4 linked regions of the Drosophila melanogaster genome follow. The protein of the gene in region 2 purifies or fractionates together with the protein of the main gene of each other region. This does not show direct contact. Each region holds a gene or a part of one and is shown on either strand. Other genes may lie near its edges. The genes, in order: Tet, Col4a1, CG7049 and Plod.

Region 1 (4,866 bases), on a different chromosome or scaffold from region 2:
TGATAACAAGTGCAGCCAACGACAGTTGGGCAGCAGCATGTTCCGAACATCCCATTTCCCAGGATCCTGCAGGACGCCCCCGTCGCCTCCGCCGCCTTCTCAACAGTCTGCCTGTCAAGCTGACGCTCCATTTGTGCAAATGAAGTGCTCCCCTTTCCCAACTGAAACCCACGTCCTCCTCCTCGTCCCCATAACCAGTTTCCCAGCTCATCCTCTTCAATGTAATATTTTAATATGTTATCCGAACATTGTGCGCTTGTTTACAACTTTTGCTCATATGAGGATTGTTCAAAAGCAGTTGGGCTAAATATTTATTAACATTTTTCCCCAGCACTGCGCTATTGCGAAACTATTTTTCGGGCCATAATAAGTTTGCATATTTATGCATGTTATACAATTGCCAAATGTGCAGCGCAGCAAGTTAATGAATAAAATTCCATTCCACTTTCGGTGGGGTGCATCATTTCGGCCGGGTAGCATTTCAAGAAGCCCCACAAACTGGCAAATGGGTGGGGAAATTATTTCATTTTATGTTAATGATACGAACTAGACGGCTGAAATTGCATTCCTTGCGAAGGTGGTGGATGTACTTAATCGAGTTTATATTGTGCGGAAGGTAGCTTGAAAGTCAAGACAAATACTATGGAACGCAGGCAATTTAGTGAAAGCTGTTTATCAAGCCATCAAATGCAATAAAATTGTTTTTAGTTAAGCGACTATTCTCTGTCGGTTCTCTGTTTGAATTTCTTAAAGGCAAGTTATTACAATATTATAAATGATGGCGAATATTAATACGAAAACTTAATTTCAAGCTCTCATATAACATTTTTTCGTTCTAGCTTAGAACTTGAATGCTTAAAAATATATATAGTATCTGAAAGATATTTTCTTTAAATTCCTGACGCGAGTTAATTCGCCTGGCAGTGCCTGCTCCACATCTCGTTCCTCGTTGTGTCACGTGCAAATTGAGTTGTGCCGAAGCTTGGCGGTATTGGTGTTTGGGTGTTTGGGTGTGGGGATGGGTTGTGCGCGGAGTGGTGCGGCGGTGCAGGTGTGGATGAAATGAAACGTGCTGTGGGGCCCAATGAAGCCATGCAAGGAGTCCATGGACAGGCATACGCGGCTGAGTATTAAGCGTATATGAATGGGAGTAGGGGCACTTATGCCTCGCATTTTCACCCACATCCCAAAAAAAAAAACGCACCACCCACTTCCCGTGAGTGTGTTGAGATTTACGAGTTTGTCATTTGCCTTGCCTGCTTTCAAAGTCACGCACGTTACTGTTAACGAGTGTGTGGAGGGGGGGAGGACGGGGGCAGGGGTTATATCCTGGGTGTTGTTTATTTTTCTCTAGGTCAAAGCCTTAATTTGCCTGCGTGTCCTTTTGCCAACTTTTATTTTGGGCTGATGTGTTTTATGAATGAATCGTGGGCGGCGGAAAATTGTAAACAAAATATGGCAGCTATATATAGATTCATTGGGGGTAAGACGGTAATAAACTTGCAGGCGGCCGACAAATTGCATCCAACAGATACAGATACTGGCACGGAGATACATTCGCTGAACTTGAACTTCTTTCGCGGCCTGCGCCTCAATTTGTTTGGTTTTATTATTTATCTTTCTTTAAATTCTCTTTATTGCCATGTATCTGTATCTGTAGCTGTATCTTGTAGGAGCACAAGTATCTCCTTCTGTGTTCTTAGCTTTTCGCTTTCTGTTGTGCTTCTCGTTCCCATGTACTCTCCTTGTTTTATTTTCTGTTTTCGGCGCTTCTGTTCTGAGCGCGCCAAAAAGTATCTTGAAGATGTACGCACGTTACTGTTAGTTACGAGTATCTGTATCTTTGTATCTCTGTGTGTCGCTTTCTGGCACGTTTTCAGGGCCTCGGCTCAACTCTTCACAACCAGAAGAAGTTCAGAGCCCGCTGCTTTTTAATTTAAGTTGGCGCTAAGACAAACGCAAAATGTATCTATCAGAAACAGTTCTTCTTTTAAAAGTCATTACTCATTGCCATAAGTGTTTGCGGTCCAAAAAGAGAAGCCTCTGCCTTTACTGTAATATTATTATTTTATTTTGTTTATTTGTCTTGCACAAATAAAGCTCGCTGAAATTGCCTGCTTAGGTGATTGTGATTTTGTTTTTTGGGTCTTCTTTGAGCTTGCACTTATTGTAATTTGATCCTCGGATGACCAATAACAATTGTTATCTCTTTGTTTACATGTTTACGCTTGGAAAGTATTTCCTGTGCCCCAAATGCAAATTTCAATTGGAAATTTGTTTTTCTTTGGCTTTCGGTCGAGAGGTGAGTTTAATTGAGGGATTAGGAACAAAAGCGTAGAGTTTTATATTTGATTGGAGCTCAACATTTTTATACATTTGCTCAATTGGCTTTATTAATTGGAGTCGGTTTTATGAAAGGGATATGGCCATTCTGTTTGGTTTCTTGGAAACGTTCCTTACGATTCGTTTTCAAAGAGTTAGTTATGTTCTGTATGCGGCTATTTGTCTTTTTGTTTGATGGCTATGCTTAATTAATGAAAAAAAAAAACCATTTATTTAATTTTCTTTGGTACCACAAATAAAATGATTATATACGCAGAATAGTTATATATAGATAAAAGGTATACATAAAGCATCCCGATTTATATATACTTAAATATATGTATATTGTTAAATCCCTACTACAAACCTTAGTTGTTAATCCATGTCCTTTCACGAGTTTTTTTCCTCGGAAAATGTTGAGTACTTAGAAGCTATTGGAAATCCAAGCCAGTTTCACTATCCATTTGCCGACCGTCGTTGGACCGTTAGAAAAGCCGCGAAAAACCGCACGAAAACGAAAGTTGACAATAACAAACCGCGACGCGAAAACGGAACGAAGGGAACAAAAGAAGGAAATCGCGGAAATTGCAGGGAAACCCAGAGAACCGAGCGCGAAACTGGAGCTGCAAATTAAACCGGGACTTGGATGAAAAGCTGAAGAACTTGGAGCTGCAAGTGCGGCATCTGCGGGAGTTCTTGATTTTGTTTTGCTCTTGGATATTCTAATTCACTGGTCACATTGGTCACATTATTTGGGGCTGCCTGTTTTCGAAACTGGAACAAGTTAGTCGCGAGTCCTTGAACTCGATCACACCCACACCGAAGGGATAGTATATTCCCGAAAATCAGAATCAGAATCAGTTAGTTAGCTAGTAAGTCTCACACGCACTCGCACTCGTTTCTAGCGCTCGAACGGCGGCGGCGGTGCAAAAGTCCGTGTTTTGTAGGAAACTTTTCACCCGAAGGATACACAACAACTGAACTAACTGAACTGAAAATGAAAATGAAAATGAAGGAGCAAACATAAAATGTATCGAACAAGTTCGTGCTCGAAGCGAACAGGTTCATGTTCGCATCGAACCAATGCGGGCTCCACTCGAACTTAAGAATACAACAAGCATGACGACCGAATTCTCTTAACTAGCGGTTTTATATTGTATAATTCATTCAATACTTAAGCATTTTTAAGAAATGATTTTTAATTTATTTTTGTGCTTATTAGTCATTCGTAAAATATATTATTTTTCAGTTTGACCATCATTAAAAGATGAAGAGCAAGATTCTTTCGTTTTGAAATTTGTATTTATTTTTATGTTCCCTAAAAAGTTTTGTAAATTCTTAAATATTTAACTTCGAACTGCTGCTTGTTGCTGTTGCGCCTGCAACTTTTGGCTCGAGAGTCCTGGCACACACACACAAACACACAGCCGCACGCACACAGTTACATTTACGGCTGCATCCTCTCTCTTTCATTAACACACAAGCACACACACACACACACACAGCTGCAACAAGACACGGATACGAACATGCGGCGTTTGAAGTGCGCTTTTGTTGTTGTTGCTGCTGCTGCGCCGCTGTACAGTTGTTGTTCCAATTAAAAATTTTTTTCCCTAGTTTCGCGCTCACAATGCGAACTTGCAATCTATGTGCGCTACGAGATATTTTCTGCTGCCTTTGTTTTGATACCCTAACCAAGGAGCTTACTTAGCTTACTTAGCAATTAAGCACATTGAATTCAAGCATGCATTATATGGTAATTGGCGTATAGTTTATTGATTTATTTACAATTTTATCAGAATAGATAAGCTCGCAAAATGTGTTTCGAAATTCAGGGCATTCGCAGTTCGACCAGCCGAATAAGTTTTACTTTCCCGCTGCTGTTGCTGCGGTGCCGTGGACGTTGCTGCGGTGCTGTTGCTGCCACTGCTGCGCTGGACGCAGGACACGGAGGCAGGACCTTGTGGGCATGTGCCATATATCCTGGCATTGCACTGGCTGCCGTTGCGGGATTTTGGTACAATTTGCCTGCCATGTTTTGCCCCTTTTTTACTTTTGCGCAAAGAGCGGGGGCGGTTGATTTCATTTCACTTTTTTCTCGTGGCGGTCCTGTTGCAACCTCGTTTCATGCCAACTATTAGTGGAGCTGCCATTTTTTCGCCATTTCATAGAGAGCAATCCACGGCGGAAAATGGAAACCTTGACAGTTGCATTGTTGCCTGGCGCTGACAGAGAAAATAACAAAACAAAGCGAGTACGCGGAACGCTGCTGTCTATTTGCATTGCGTAATGGAAAATCATTCAACCTAGGGGCACAACCCTTAACCGACTTCGAATCCTCCGGAACCGAATCTCAATCTGAATCCGAATCCTCCGAACACTGACCTGTCCCATACGCAACGCATACCCATAAAATCCCTCGAGGAACCTCGAAGAAACATCTGCACAAACAACAAAATGCAGCCGGCCTTTTCTCCTCTTAGATAGTTCTTAAGTTCACGATCCGCAGACAAGTTCTTCATAGTTGGGTTTTCTGCACTCGAA
Region 2 (5,275 bases):
TCTAGCGTTCGAAGTATTACTAAACACGAGTCCCGCTAAAGAAATTCGAATTCTTCGCCCGCACACTCGGCACGCTCGGCTCCACTCGTAAAAGTTCGGCCGTTCGCGATCGGCTCTCGGCCCACCAATACTATCGCAAGTGGAAGTTGCAGCAGTGTGAGTGTAGTAGGCACAGGCCAGGGACAGGCCCGGATGGATGTTTTGGATGGAGATTTGGATGGAGGTTTGGATGTAGATGTGACTCCGGGCTCTGGTTATGGTTCGGAATTTAGCACTTTGACGCCTTGAAACGAGGAAATGAGGAGCAGAGCCCTCTAACCAAATCAAAGCGGCCCGATTCTAAGCATACAAATTCTATTTCCCATTTTGGTACCGTATCCCTGAAGGGGTATGATCAATCAGATTCTCACTTTGTTCTTTTTATTAGGCACGTCTCTTGGGAAAATACAAATTATTAAATAATTTATTAATTAATGTTACTATTACTAACTATTACTAACAGGCACATACCATTTATACATAATAACCATCCGCATATAACTTAAATGATAGTTCCAACTAGCGACACACGATATTTCTTGCGGGGTAAAAGCTATTCTAATACTCAATCCCAGCTATCCTAGTGATTTCAATACAATTAGATGCTAGTTTGTTTGTCGCGCTTCTCGTGATTAGGTTAAGGCTTTTTCATTTAGTACTTACATATATGGCATATGTGAGGCTGATAAGACGGATATGGCTGAGTATTTCCTGTTAGAACGAACTACTGATCAACTGAAAACCGAACATGAGTTTTAAGCTCCAATAAGTCCGACGCAGAAAAGCCAAATGGGAACCTTTCGAAATTCGAGCCTGATTTTGGGTTTCGGGGCCACAGTGTTTTGAAATAAGTCTTGATAGGGCGGCTATAATCAAGGCCTCGTTCTAGTTGGGAAAGCTCTTTTGTTCTAGGGTACGTGCAAGTCGGATATGGCCCAGTGGCCTGAATATATGTCTTCTCAGGAAACTGCTGTGATTAGGATATTAAATGATGTCGCACTTCGGCAACTTAAAATCTTATTAATTTATGTTTAGAGCGGTATTAGTAAGTATTATGTCGTACTTACTATCAAAATGAATGGATCTCAATAATTATTATTAATTAAATAACAATAATTATTTTAAGTATGTATAAAACTTGGCACTTAAAATGAAATTTCATTTAAGATACATTTAGTTTTAATAAAGCGTAGATAGATACAAAAAAAATCGAAAAAAGACCATTCTTTGAAACAATAATTGCATCGACATACTAAAATCAATCAAACTAAAATATTTTGTTTTAGAAAAGAATGGAATGATTTGAATAATCAGTTATATATAGCAAATAAAAATATACCAAGTAAAGCTTAAAAAGAGATTTAATCTTCAAAACCTTTGTCAAATTAATTATATCAGTTTTGAAAGCTAGAGAATATTTTTAAAACTTAGAAAAGGACTATAATCCTATTAAAAGTAAAGTATATGCCAATAAAATGTTTACACATGTTTTTGTTATCCTTTAAGTTTTAGATATTTTTATCATACTTATTGTAAGTACACACAAAATTTTGATGAGGTTATAATTAGAACATTGGCCTGATAGCGAAGCCTTCGGAATTTCCCTTGCCCGAGCACCGAAAAAAGTCCAAAAAGCAGGAGCCGCAGGGGCGGACCAAAACGGAAGCCATGTGCCCGATCTCAGGGCGGGGGCTATCAGCTAATTTTGAGATGGGAGCTGGTAGCTGCGATCTGGAAGCTGGGATCTGGGAGCCGGAGAGCTGGTTGAAGGTGCTCCCGGGGAGGTGCTCCGGCGGAACGAAGCTGATGTGCTATTGAGCAACTTAAGTCGCATGTGGCATATCAACAGCAGCGACGGACTTATCGCCAAGTTTCATTCATTCCGCAGCGACTATGTTAACTTGTGGGATTAGTGTTGCTACATACGACGACCCGTCGCCCATCCGTTCTATATGCCATGGTGCCACCACCCACCTCCCACCAGCCACCTCGCAGCCATCGCAACCGATCCGATGCCCATCCAATCCCCGTCGAATCACACGGATAGTGTACATGAGCCGTAGACCCGATCGTCGAGATCGTGCCAAGCCGAACGATCGACGAGTGAAGATCGGGGCATCGGCGTTTGGCTTTTGGATCGCTCGAACTTATACTATAATTAGTCGTGTTCCGTCTCCCCGAGTAAGTAGTAGTCTGGTCTCGGTCCGGAGCTGATCTGGCCAGCTGGTTTTAGTCTTTAGTCAGCGCTGTGGAGTGGTGATCGGTTCGGATCGGATCGCTCGGTTGTGAATGTGTGTTTCCATTAGGGTCCCGTCCCGTCCCGTCCAACCGTCCCTTAAATAGGATTTGATTCCTGTAAGGAACTGAGCTTTTACAACAACAAAATAATATAAACATAAAATATCTTAATTAAATCAGGAAGAACGCGTACTATTAATTGAAAATATCCAGCAAGTCGTTGTGCGAGTCTCGTACCAGTTCCAGTGCCTCTCAAACTGTCGCGTGTATATGCTTGGAAATGAAATGAAACGAAATACAAGAATTAAATCGTTGAAAAAAAATAAGCCAGCTCGATTTTCCCACAAATATTAAATAAAATAATATTCCTCTAAGAATATTTCCAATTTATTTTGCAACTGTTGCGAAATTAAAGTGCCCAATTCTCTGGCTCATCTTTCCAGGCCCAGCGACGGCAACATATAAACTTCAAATTCGACGAGGACAGAGCAAATAATTGTGCAGGCTTAAGTGCATAGGGCATCATGTTGCCCTTCTGGAAGCGGTAAGAAAAATGACAAAAGTTAGAAAAATAATACAAATGGTTGCAAAAATTTAAGTTAATCAAAGAAAGCAATTGTTAATTATTAAAAACCATGACAATAATACTTACTTAACAACTAATAATACTCTATTTAAAAATTTAAAATTTTTTTGAAATTTTTAATGATTAAAACCCAGTTATGGCCTAAAAAAGTATTGCCAATTTTTTTCTTTCTAATCCATTCAGAAAGAGCAAATATTAGTTTTTAAATTAATATTTTAGATATCAGCAATACAAAAATACATAATTTAAAACATCACATTTGTTCAATTTTTTTTTAATTTTTCGAAGCGCGATCTCTTAAAAACTTGTAAGCTCTCTCTTAAGCGCCTTTAGCAAACTCTCTTGAATTGACGGCTTAAGAGAGAGCTGCCAATCGAAGAGAGCTATGTCCAATTAAATAGCTAGACTGATAAGACGAAGCACAGTTCCTAACCCTCCTGATCTTCGTCGACTTCTTTGCAGGCTGCTATACGCCGCTGTGATCGCGGGAGCGTTAGTCGGTGCCGACGCTGTAAGATAACCGTAGCCCATGCCATCCATCTGGACATTGAATAATATACTCCTTTTCCCCGCAGCAATTTTGGAAGACGGCTGGTACGGCCGGTTCGATTCAGGACTCCGTGAAACACTACAATCGAAATGAACCCAAGTTCCCAATCGACGACAGTTACGACATTGTAGACTCTGCCGGCGTGGCGCGCGGCGATCTGCCGCCCAAGAATTGTACGGCCGGATATGCGGGCTGTGTGCCCAAGTGCATAGCGGAGAAGGGCAACCGTGGTCTGCCGGGCCCTCTTGGACCCACGGGATTGAAGGGCGAAATGGGTTTCCCTGGCATGGAGGGACCATCTGGTGACAAGGGTCAGAAGGGTGATCCCGGCCCATACGGACAGCGTGGTGATAAGGGTGAGCGCGGATCGCCTGGTCTTCATGGTCAGGCTGGTGTACCCGGAGTCCAGGGACCCGCCGGCAATCCCGGAGCCCCTGGTATCAACGGTAAAGACGGTTGCGACGGACAGGATGGTATTCCTGGCTTGGAGGGTCTATCCGGAATGCCCGGACCTCGCGGATATGCCGGCCAGCTTGGCAGCAAGGGCGAGAAGGGTGAACCGGCAAAGGAGAACGGTGATTACGCGAAGGGCGAGAAGGGTGAGCCCGGTTGGAGGGGGACTGCCGGTTTGGCTGGACCACAAGGATTTCCTGGAGAAAAGGGCGAGCGCGGCGACAGTGGACCTTACGGAGCCAAAGGACCCCGGGGTGAGCACGGTCTGAAGGGAGAGAAGGGTGCCTCCTGCTACGGACCCATGAAGCCTGGTGCACCGGGTATCAAGGGCGAGAAGGGTGAGCCCGCGTCCTCGTTTCCCGTCAAACCGACCCACACGGTGATGGGACCTCGCGGCGATATGGGACAGAAGGGAGAGCCTGGCCTAGTTGGCCGCAAGGGTGAGCCCGGACCTGAAGGCGACACTGGACTCGATGGACAGAAGGGCGAGAAGGGTCTGCCCGGCGGCCCAGGCGATCGCGTAAGTCGAGTTCATACTTAAGGCTCCAAATCGAAGTGGAAGTTGAAACCTCTATAATGAAATATATACGTACAGGGTCGCCAAGGTAACTTTGGACCCCCAGGATCTACAGGACAAAAGGGAGATCGTGGCGAGCCGGGCCTTAATGGTCTGCCCGGTAATCCCGGACAGAAGGGTGAGCCAGGACGTGCTGGAGCGACAGGTAAGCCTGGTCTGCTCGGTCCTCCGGGACCGCCAGGCGGTGGCCGTGGAACACCAGGACCCCCGGGACCCAAAGGACCCCGCGGCTATGTTGGCGCACCTGGACCCCAGGGATTAAACGGAGTTGATGGACTACCGGGTCCTCAGGGATACAATGGACAAAAGGGAGGTGCTGGTCTGCCCGGTCGCCCCGGCAACGAGGGACCTCCTGGCAAAAAGGGAGAAAAGGGAACCGCAGGACTTAATGGACCAAAGGGATCCATCGGACCCATTGGACACCCAGGACCACCGGGACCAGAGGGACAGAAGGGTGACGCCGGTTTGCCCGGTTATGGCATTCAAGGATCTAAGGGAGATGCTGGCATACCTGGGTAAGTGCAATGATTCATTTAATAGTCCTAGCACTCAGTCGAGTCCCACTGTGGAGCCGAGTCCTGTTCTTACTTTCCTTCATTAAAGATCTTATTTAATTCGAATTAATTTTCGTTCGTCCTAGTTATCCCGGACTAAAGGGTAGCAAGGGAGAGCGCGGCTTCAAGGGCAATGCTGGTGCTCCCGGTGACTCCAAGCTGGGTCGTCCTGGAACTCCCGGTGCCGCTGGTGCTCCTGGACAAAAGGGAGACGCTGGTCGTCCCGGCACTCCTGGCCAAAAGGGAGACATGGGTATCAAGGGTGACGTCGGCGGCAA
Region 3 (3,859 bases), on a different chromosome or scaffold from region 2:
ATGAACAATAAACTAAAGACTTCGAATAAAATAACAATAAACCTTAAAATATTGAAATCTGAACGCATCAATTTGGTTACATTTTATATACATACCTGACTTTTTTCTTGAGACTACTGATCCAACAGAAAGATCTTTAACTTAAAAGCATTTCTTACAAGGTAATTTCAGCGCCGACTTTTATAAAAAAGCCATCGATGGCTTAGTATGTATCGATAGTAATCGATAGCTCTTTTTGCTCTTTTCTTTAAACAATTGACATTCCCAATTTTTCCTTGAGCTAAAAACTTAATAATCGACAGTTTCAGTTCAAAATGTACGGATTTAAAGTAATTCCTAATTTGTGACGTTTTTATTTAAAAAATTGTAATAGAAAAATCAGTATTGAATGAAATTTCAGTTATTCAAATGAAGCCCTATTGCCTTATTTAAATTTATGTTGTAAGATGTGTGTCCCATGGCTGAACATAAAACTGATTTGTAATTAATGTTCATATAAACTTCCCAGTAGATGACAGCCGGTTCCGCCTAATAGAGAAACGACGACTTCTCTCGTCTTCAGTTTATCCCAAGTACCAGAATGTGGAGGACTTCGCACATATGTATTACGCGAAGCGACAAGACGTACATTTCGAATGAAAGTCTTTATATTTGGTTAATTTGTTGTATTTGTAAAAATAAAAGAGTTGTGAGGAATTTCCCACGATGACAACTCACGCATTCTTGGCGCACCGAAAACCCAGGTTACCGGCTGAACTGTCTTCTGTGTTCTGCGAGCGTGCCGCGCACCTGTACCTGTAGCAGTAGGACTTGTGACACAGATAAGAACCGCCCTTCTTGACCCGATTTGGATTATCGCTAACGTCATTTACGTCCCACAGATCTGCCGTCCACTCCCAGACGTTGCCCACCATGTTGTGCAGGTCGTAAATATTCTGTCGGAAGGCATCCACGGGGCTGGTGTACTCAAACCCATCTTCAGCCAGGTTGCCATCGGGAAAGTCTCCCTGCCAGATGTTCAGCCAATGTTCATTCCTTGGCATCAGCTTGTTGCCCCAGGGAAACAGTTTGCGCTCCTTGCCGCCCCTGCAAGCCGCCTCCCACTCCGCCTCGCTGGGCAACCGCTTGCCGGCCCACTTACAGTACTCCACAGCGTCGCGCCACGATACGTGCACTACCGGGTGTCGGCCTAAGTGGTCTATATCGCTGTCCACGCCATTTGGATGTCGCCAGTTCACGCCGGCCACTTTGTACCACCAGACAGCGCTCGCCACTCGGAAGTCCTCTAGGTTCTTCTGCTCCAATGGGCTCAAAAGGCTCTTAAACAGAAAACTGTCGCCATATCGCTCAGCCTCCGTGGTGTAGTTAGTGTGCAGAACAAACTTCGCAAAGGCTTCGTTGGAAACCTCATACTTGTCGATGTAGAAGTCATTCAGCTTCACCTGCCGTTCCGGAGCCTCGCGGTCGGCCGGAAAGTGCGGTTTGTCAGTACCCATGTAAACCGTGCCTCCCGGAAGCAGTGACATGTCCGCAATATTTGGCTCCAGTTCGCCATAGTAATCCCGGTAGTGGCTGTGTGCACCCTGTGCTCGTTGCTGGCACACTTGTCCGGAAATGGACGGCATATCCGGGGCCTTCCGGTCGAGCTTTTGGCAGCCACAGTCGCTGGATACGTCATTGAATAAAACTATCCAAATAAAGAGGACTAATATAATTGTTGTCATCTTAACGTGCAGTGTGGCCCTTTTTAGTTTTGGAATCAATACTTAATTTCGCGAATTTAAATTCCGAACAAGCCAGCTTTTTAATAGCATACTTTAGGCTGTAACGTTTTAAACAATTTATTTCAATTTCAACAACCATACTTTTGGGATTATTATTATTATTATAACCATTTAGTAGTAGTTAGAAGGTTAATGAGTGCAGTTTTACCATTTTAATAATATATAACCTACAATATTTAGGTTTTATAAAAAGTTATGTATATGAGCTAATTATAATTTATCAAAGTCTGGTCTTTATGTTAACTTTCGTTTGTATTTGTTATAAATTCTTCAATCATGAACAAATTTTTGGGAACGGAAGACCTACAAATGCAAAGACCAGAAACATTAAAAAACGTTAAGTATAAGTTAAATAAGTTTAAATTGTTGTATGGCGCAAATCGGTCTTAACAAGTTGTGATACACAGCAATCCTAAAAGCTGCGGGCTATGCCTCGATAGGCTTCTCGTGCAGCCAGGGCCGGAATATGGGTAGTGTGGACGGATAGTGGGTGTGCGTGTCCGGCTTAAGCACCGATTCCGGCCAGGTGTTGGCATTGACCGCATCACCGGAGTGTCGAAAGGGGTACGTCGCAAGCACGATAGGAAGCTGTAGCTTAATCTCCTTCTCCATGGACTTGGGTTCGATCACGAAGAAGACGTCGTAGGATATTTTGATCAGGTGGCAGCCATGAAGATTGGTCGGCGGCAGGGGTGGAACGTAAAGCTCGTTGTGCCACTCGTCTTTGGCCCCCGGACGGATCTTGCCACGAACTAAAACAGCCAGCTCCCGTTTTTCCGTTTGCACCACCTTCCCCCGCGCCAAATACTCGATGGTCTAAATAAAATCCAAATAAGATCAAAATGGATGAATTGTAACTAGCCACTTGAAAGCGATACCGACCTCAGTGAGGGATGCCTTAGTCCGTTTAATGGACACATTACTGTAGTTGGATATAAATGCGGTGACCAGAATATTCTCGCCGGGCACATACCCACCGCGATCAAGGGACACTCTGCACTTTATCTGACCTCCACCAACACAGACGACGCCTAGCTTGTGCTCAACTTCGCAGGTGAACGGTTGCTGAGTCAGGCGAAAGGTTAGTTTTTTTAAACAGGGTTTTTAAAGCTACTTACTGCTAAGATGGGCTTTTCAAGGTTTAGGTCGATGGGATTCATCACAATGAAGACCTGGTGGTTCTTATGGATAATGCCATTGTTCTCGCGGAGCGCCGCCTTGCAGTAGAACTGAATCCAGCCGTACCGACCGAGAAATGTAGATGGAAGACCCAGTGGCAAGCCGAGTTTGAAGGGGAAGCTGTGAATTCCTGGCGAGAGTATAGCTGGACCTCCTTGGTCTACGTCCCCCAGAAGTCGCATCCGAAAGTCGATATAGTTCTCCTTATCGTATGTCCGCTCCTGTCGCCGCCCGTTGCGCACGACCCCTTCGCCTACCACATGGAAATGAAGTCCCAAAGCAGGCGTCTCATCCTGCAATTCGATTAGAACCCGTCCGGAGAGAAACTGGCCCGGGAAGTACAGGAGGGAAGTGTTGTCGAAGATGATAAGGAATTTAAGCAACTTGCGCGGCATCGTGCCTCTGTTTTGTTGCCGATTTCATTCGTACGCCTAAGGAAAAACCAACGAAATTCGTTAGAACACGGTTGCCAAATATTTGACCCGCTCCGCACGCGTCATTATGGTTAATGACAACTTATCCGTCATAGCTGGCTAGGTCTGAGACCATGTACTACGGACTACGGTCTCACATACATACGGCGCTTGTTTGCATATTTATGTGGGTAGCATCTAGGCGGGCAAAGGAAACAAAACCAGTTTCGTACGGCCAAGAGATGGCTGCGTGCACAACTATGCAGCACGAAAGCCCCGAACACTTAAGCATCAACTGCAAGGTCGGCGCATGAAGCATGTCGGGCGTGTCACGCCCGCGCCTACAAATTTGGGCAAAACTCCAGTATGTACATCTTTACCAAAAGCGTAAGCTGCAACTGCGACTGTCGGCAAGCCTGTTTGGTGCACTGGTGACAATGTTGATGATTCCTGATTGGGAAACAGAAACCGAAAAGAAAACTG
Region 4 (5,105 bases), on a different chromosome or scaffold from region 2:
CTTGATGTCATCGTCGTGAAATGCAACATTGCTGTAGATGAGCAAGTGAAGTTTTTCCTTAGGATAGTTCAGACTCTCGATGCCCTCCAGAAACTGGTCGAAGAAGGGTACGGGTTGCGTGACCATCAGGGCTAGGGAAATCACAGGTAGGTTTGTCTCCTAGAAAATATATTGTATATTATAATATAATATAAGCATGTTTATAGGCATATTCAAAATCGCTTACTTCCAAGTCTAAAAGATTTTCCTGACACAAAAGGCAGACGCCATTAAAAGTCCTGGCCAAATAGTTGCCATATGCATTCAGATCCACTTTGCTAAGTCCATTGCCATGGATGATGGAAGGCGTTGTCATGAAATCCACGTTCTGTAGAACGCCCTGATTGCTCTCGAGATCCACTTTAAGCTTCACATCGTTCTTGGCACCATGTAGGTTTTGGAATAGGCGCGATTGTACGTCCAGCTTTAAGCCCAGCTTGGCGCGTTTGGTCTCGTCAAGGAAGATCTTTGTAAAATATAGCTGATCGTCGGCAGTGTCTTCAATTGGATCCACCAGCAGAGCGAAAACTTGTGGTGCATAACCAATGAACGCGCCCGAGTTGAGGAATCTGGAGGCCTTGCCCTCCACTTCGGGATAGTCATTGGCCAGACTTTTGTCGGGCCAGCAGTATTTCTCGGCGGAGAAGAGTATCTTGGCACCAGACTCCTTGAATTTCTCAAAGATCTCATCCAGCGTGGTGGTGATAATCACATCGTAGCTAAAAAGTACACCTTAATTATTAACAACTCCTTTGGATTTTTCATTGAATTTCAAACCTGTCTGTGAAGAGTATGATTGTTTCGGGTTCATTTTTATACGGAGCAATAGCTTCGCGCAGAAGGTTGAGCTTAAATCCGCCGCCAGGCTTTTGCATATCTCCTCCTTTCCATTCCTCTCCCAAGCCAAGGGTGGTTACCTTTAAAGATTAAATATTATTTTAAATGCTAACCAGTGATCTGATGCGTATATCTTTATCACTGACAACAAACTGGACTAACAAGCTACCTAAATCTATATATTTGTTTAATCTACAAGCTCATATTATATAAAACATATACAAAGCAACCAAAAATATGACACAAAATTTAAAAGAAATCATATCTTTTCCATTAAAGGAAACCAAATCACAAATTTCATTCATTTAGCAACGCTGCGGTATTAAATATCTTGGGTCGCACAGTTCTTTAAATACAAAAAAAAAATGTACATATATAGAAATTCAAAGCAAAGGGGGAGAGATCAGGTTCAATCCATGAAAAAAAGCCGGCTAAGCGAGCTTATCAGCACATTTTATTGTCGTGCATATATATTTTTGAACAACAAAATTTCTAAGCCGGCCGACAATACAAAAAGTGTCACCGATAAGCGAAATCTCCCATCGACTTGGTGTAGAAAGTTCTAAGCTATCAATGAATCGGGAACCCAATCCCAATGTATTGTGCTAATTACCCCCGGCGACTGCACCGAATCTCCTTGGCGTACGTGATTTCAACATGTGTGCACTATATGTTGACTACATGTTGTCGTTGCCCCCACAATGTCCAGCAGCCAATCTCGGTGTTCCACATCAGAAAATCGGACGCCAACGCCGGATGCTCGGGTAGCGGCGAATAGGCACAGATATATATAGCTACTATATTATATGCTAACCAGACATTTTAATAATACAATGTTGCCTAAGTGTGCCAAGCCGCCGGGCAAGTCTTGATTCATTTAAGACAATACAATACATACTCACATCGTCCAGTTCTAATCTGTCATAAATGCTATGTTCTAGCTTATATACCAGTTTTTATGAAAATTCTATTGTCTGAGAGTGTCGTCAAATTAGAAATTCATCAATAAAAACAATCAAAACTCATTTGCATATGAAGAGTTGTTCGCAGATGTTCTATTAAACATAAAAGTTGGCCAATTTTGTTCAGGCAGAAGTATATGCATAACTGTATTTAATGTTCTCTAATTTTTATCCCAGATGGTAGAATGTCTTTCTTGATGAACTGTCAAGTTTCAAAGTTCCAACCGCTTTATAATTCTTTTTCCGCTAACCATAATACCTAACTATAGCAGCTCATAGATATTAGATAGACAGTGTGAAACAATTTCTTGTCTCGACTTTAAAATGCTCTAATTAATACGAATCCTCACCTCAATATCGTAGACTCGTGCAGATCGAATATATCTAGTATAGCCATCGGTGGGTTCAGTGGCCACAGTGAACACTTTGATTTTGTCTGTAAATTAACATATATATGAATCAATAGTAAAGATTAATAGAAAGTAAGTCATTACTTTTGGATTATTTTTAATTAATGTAATTTAACATAAATTTAATAGTTTCTTATATTGCTCGTTGAACTTGCGTAAGCTCTACTGTATTCTAGTTTTGGGTTCTAATTAGAATACAACAAAATGATATTGTATTGTCTGAAGTCATTAAATTATAACGAATACATGTTAGACAACAAGTTCGGCTTGTTTAAAGCAGTTTAATTTCTGAATGTGTAAACGAATTTGCTGTTTGAGAACCATTTTGTATCTTTCATCTCAGATGCAGATGCATCTGAACACTTGAATCTGCATCTGCTCCGTTTTCCGAGCAATTCCAGAGTAAACGACCGCAGCATCAAAGCGAAACGAAAACAAAAGCAAATTAAAAGGCAAGGAGAGATGTGGTCGGGTGGTATATGGATCATAAACAAATTCTCTGAGATATGTACTGCACATACACAGAAAAAAGTAAGGGGAAACTACATTTCGGACTTTTTATGTTTTGAACGAGAAAAGGATGTTCTAGTTTCTTATCAAGAATGATAAGAAAAAACCAACCGCATCACATCCCTTTTTATCTCTGTGCATTTGTGTAATAAGTACGGCAGTGGAATGCACTTAAGATCGAAAAATATGAAAACATGAATGCAATATAATTTTCTATGGCTGCTGATGAACTCATTCTAGTTAGAAATTAAGAACAAACCATTCCAATTGGACTCGGCATCTCCTTGCGACGTCACGGCCAGCAGCAACAACAACAAGGCGCTTTGTTGTATTCTCATGATGCTGGAGCTAGTTGCTCTCTCTCTCTCTTACTCGCACACACAGTGAAGCACTCGCTATCGGTGGTTAAAAATTGTTATAGTGAACAGTACTTTATACTAGTTGCATTTTTTTGTGCTAAATGCTAAGGAAATCAAAACACCTTCCGCTCCACAAAATATCGGGAGTCCCACCCGCAAGAAACTCAGAAACGCGAATAACAAATGTGTGGCTGCGGCTAAGCCGTTAGAAAATATCGCCTGAAAAAAAGGGCCTAAAAAATCCACTAGTCCCAAGTCAGCTGTTGTGAAATAAGGCTTTCACACCTCTTTTTTTTTTAAATGTGTCTAGACTAAATAAAAAATAAAGTTAACAAGTTATTTTTTAAGTTAAAAAATAAAAAGTACTTCACACCGAAATTTAAATGTCAGCTAGTGTGAAATATTGCTTACAAAATGTTTTGTATTTGATGTTTCTATACTAAATTAAATATGTAAATATAATTTAAATGAATCTTTTTCCACAATTTTAATTTGTTAGTAATCTTAGTTTAAATTAAAAATATCTAATATTAAAAAATATTCCATACTTGCGAAAACCAATCTAAATGGAAAATACATCTGTTTCTTCGCCGAACTACTTTAAATTTATTTAGGAAAATATTCAGCGCGTACTGTTTTTAAATGTGGGTGTTGTTCCTAGGGTAAGTTCACATAATGTAGTATGTGGCGTGTTTATGTGTGTGTTTATGTACAATTAACTGGGCTAAAGAAGGGAAACAAAATCGCGTGTCCGTTCGGTCTGCTCGCTTCGCCGTCGCACCATATAAATTGAGCACATATATTGGGTATGTATATATTGTCTCATTGAACAGGTCGTATCAAAAATAAATGGCAGAACCCAAAACGAACTCAAACCGATCAAAGTCTTCGAAATCTTCTTCCCAGAGAGGTGGTGGTATCAGTTCCAGATGACAGACTTGCACTTGCAGTTTGGACCATAGTCTACAGCATGCCGAAGCCCTTCGAGTAGTTGATGGCCTTCATCAGGCGCTCCTCCAGCTTCTCGCGGCTGCTGTACTCGGGCAGGAGGAGAACGTTGAAGCAGGTGTGCGAGGTAGGCAACCGATCGCTATCCGGACCGTGACGCGTGATTAGCAGACGCAGGCATTTCAGGCCGCCAACCGGAACACGCGCCGATCCCGTCGTGAATTCGAGCAGCTTGTGCTTGTCCTCGCTGGGCATCGCATGCACTATGCTCCAGAAGTCCTGGATGTACTGGCTCTTCTCCGTGTAGCCGCCCTCGTACACAGTGGAGTTTTCCAGTTCCACAAAGTCGAATTCCTGCCGAAGGTTTCAGAGTTCAGCAACCGAATGAATTTCGTAATTTGAATTTAGCTACTCACACGACTGCCGCAGACCAGCATTTCAATCTCCTCTGGACGGAAGAGCAGCTTCAGTGGCGATTCGTCCGTAACCATTTCGAAGCCCTTGCGGAAAGCATTGAACTGCTGTTCGATATTCGTGTTAAGCAGGAAATCACTGTACAGGTTGACAAACAGTTCCTTGTTGTGCTGCCCCACCAGTACATCCTGGCCGTTCGGCACCAGTTCGTGTTGTACCACATCACCGAAAACATCGCTATAGCTAATCTTGAAGGTCTGTTCGAATACCTCCTCCATATCCTGGCCCTGATAGTCCAGCATGGACTTCAGACTCTTGTACAGCGCCGGACTCCAGTCGCTGAGGTCTGCGAACGTGCCGCAATAGCCTATCAACTTGCGATAGACCACCATGGGGAAGTTTACGGCCAGGGTGACGTTGTTATAGATCGCCAGGCCAATAATTATACCAATCAGAGTGAATTGCGCTCCGTTCTCAAATGGTGTGGCATTGAACCTGCATATGTATATATATATATTTATATAGTTCAACTGAACAGATTTATCCCAATTGAATACCCACCACATATTGTTGGTCTCCTCTTGCTGTATAAACATTCCAAAAGCCGGGTTAAATATCTCCTCCAC

Evidence for each region.
Region 1: the proteins of Col4a1 (region 2) and Tet purify together in Drosophila melanogaster (affinity purification with mass spectrometry, with the first as the bait; one large-scale study listed by BioGRID). This does not show direct contact.
Region 3: the proteins of Col4a1 (region 2) and CG7049 purify together in Drosophila melanogaster (affinity purification with mass spectrometry, with the first as the bait; one large-scale study listed by BioGRID). This does not show direct contact.
Region 4: the proteins of Col4a1 (region 2) and Plod purify together in Drosophila melanogaster (affinity purification with mass spectrometry, with the first as the bait; one large-scale study listed by BioGRID). This does not show direct contact.

Annotation. Positions count from the first base shown.
Region 1 is NT_037436.4:2,875,844-2,880,709, forward strand, and holds the start of Tet (Ten-Eleven translocation (TET) family protein), read right to left. Parts: upstream 3,316-4,866; 5' UTR 2,690-3,315; intron 1-2,689. UniProt on the Drosophila melanogaster protein: Dioxygenase that specifically demethylates DNA methylated on the 6th position of adenine (N(6)-methyladenosine) DNA.
Region 2 is NT_033779.5:5,027,417-5,032,691, forward strand, and holds the start of Col4a1 (collagen type IV alpha 1), read left to right. Parts: upstream 1-2,192; 5' UTR 2,193-2,330; exon of another isoform or gene 2,331-2,394; intron 2,395-2,720; 5' UTR 2,721-2,801; coding exon 2,802-2,821; intron 2,822-3,325; coding exon 3,326-3,374; intron 3,375-3,438; coding exon 3,439-4,386; intron 4,387-4,461; coding exon 4,462-4,958; intron 4,959-5,083; coding exon 5,084-5,275. UniProt on the Drosophila melanogaster protein: Collagen type IV is specific for basement membranes.
Region 3 is NT_037436.4:174,480-178,338, forward strand, and holds CG7049 (uncharacterized protein), read right to left. Parts: upstream 1,750-3,859; 5' UTR 1,725-1,749; coding exon 714-1,724; 3' UTR 633-713; downstream 1-632. Other genes in the region: Vdup1 (vitamin D[[3]] up-regulated protein 1), read right to left, coding at 2,211-2,600, 2,667-2,849, 2,903-3,358.
Region 4 is NT_037436.4:11,202,717-11,207,821, forward strand, and holds the start of Plod (procollagen lysyl hydroxylase), read right to left. Parts: upstream 3,301-5,105; 5' UTR 3,240-3,300; exon of another isoform or gene 3,154-3,239; 5' UTR 3,097-3,153; coding exon 3,018-3,096; intron 2,275-3,017; coding exon 2,189-2,274; intron 957-2,188; coding exon 817-956; intron 759-816; coding exon 227-758; intron 160-226; coding exon 1-159. Other genes in the region: Ube3a (ubiquitin protein ligase E3A), read right to left, coding at 4,081-4,419, 4,482-4,974, 5,041-5,105. UniProt on the Drosophila melanogaster protein: Forms hydroxylysine residues in collagen type IV. Required for the secretion of collagen type IV (vkg) from haemocytes, fat body and follicle cells.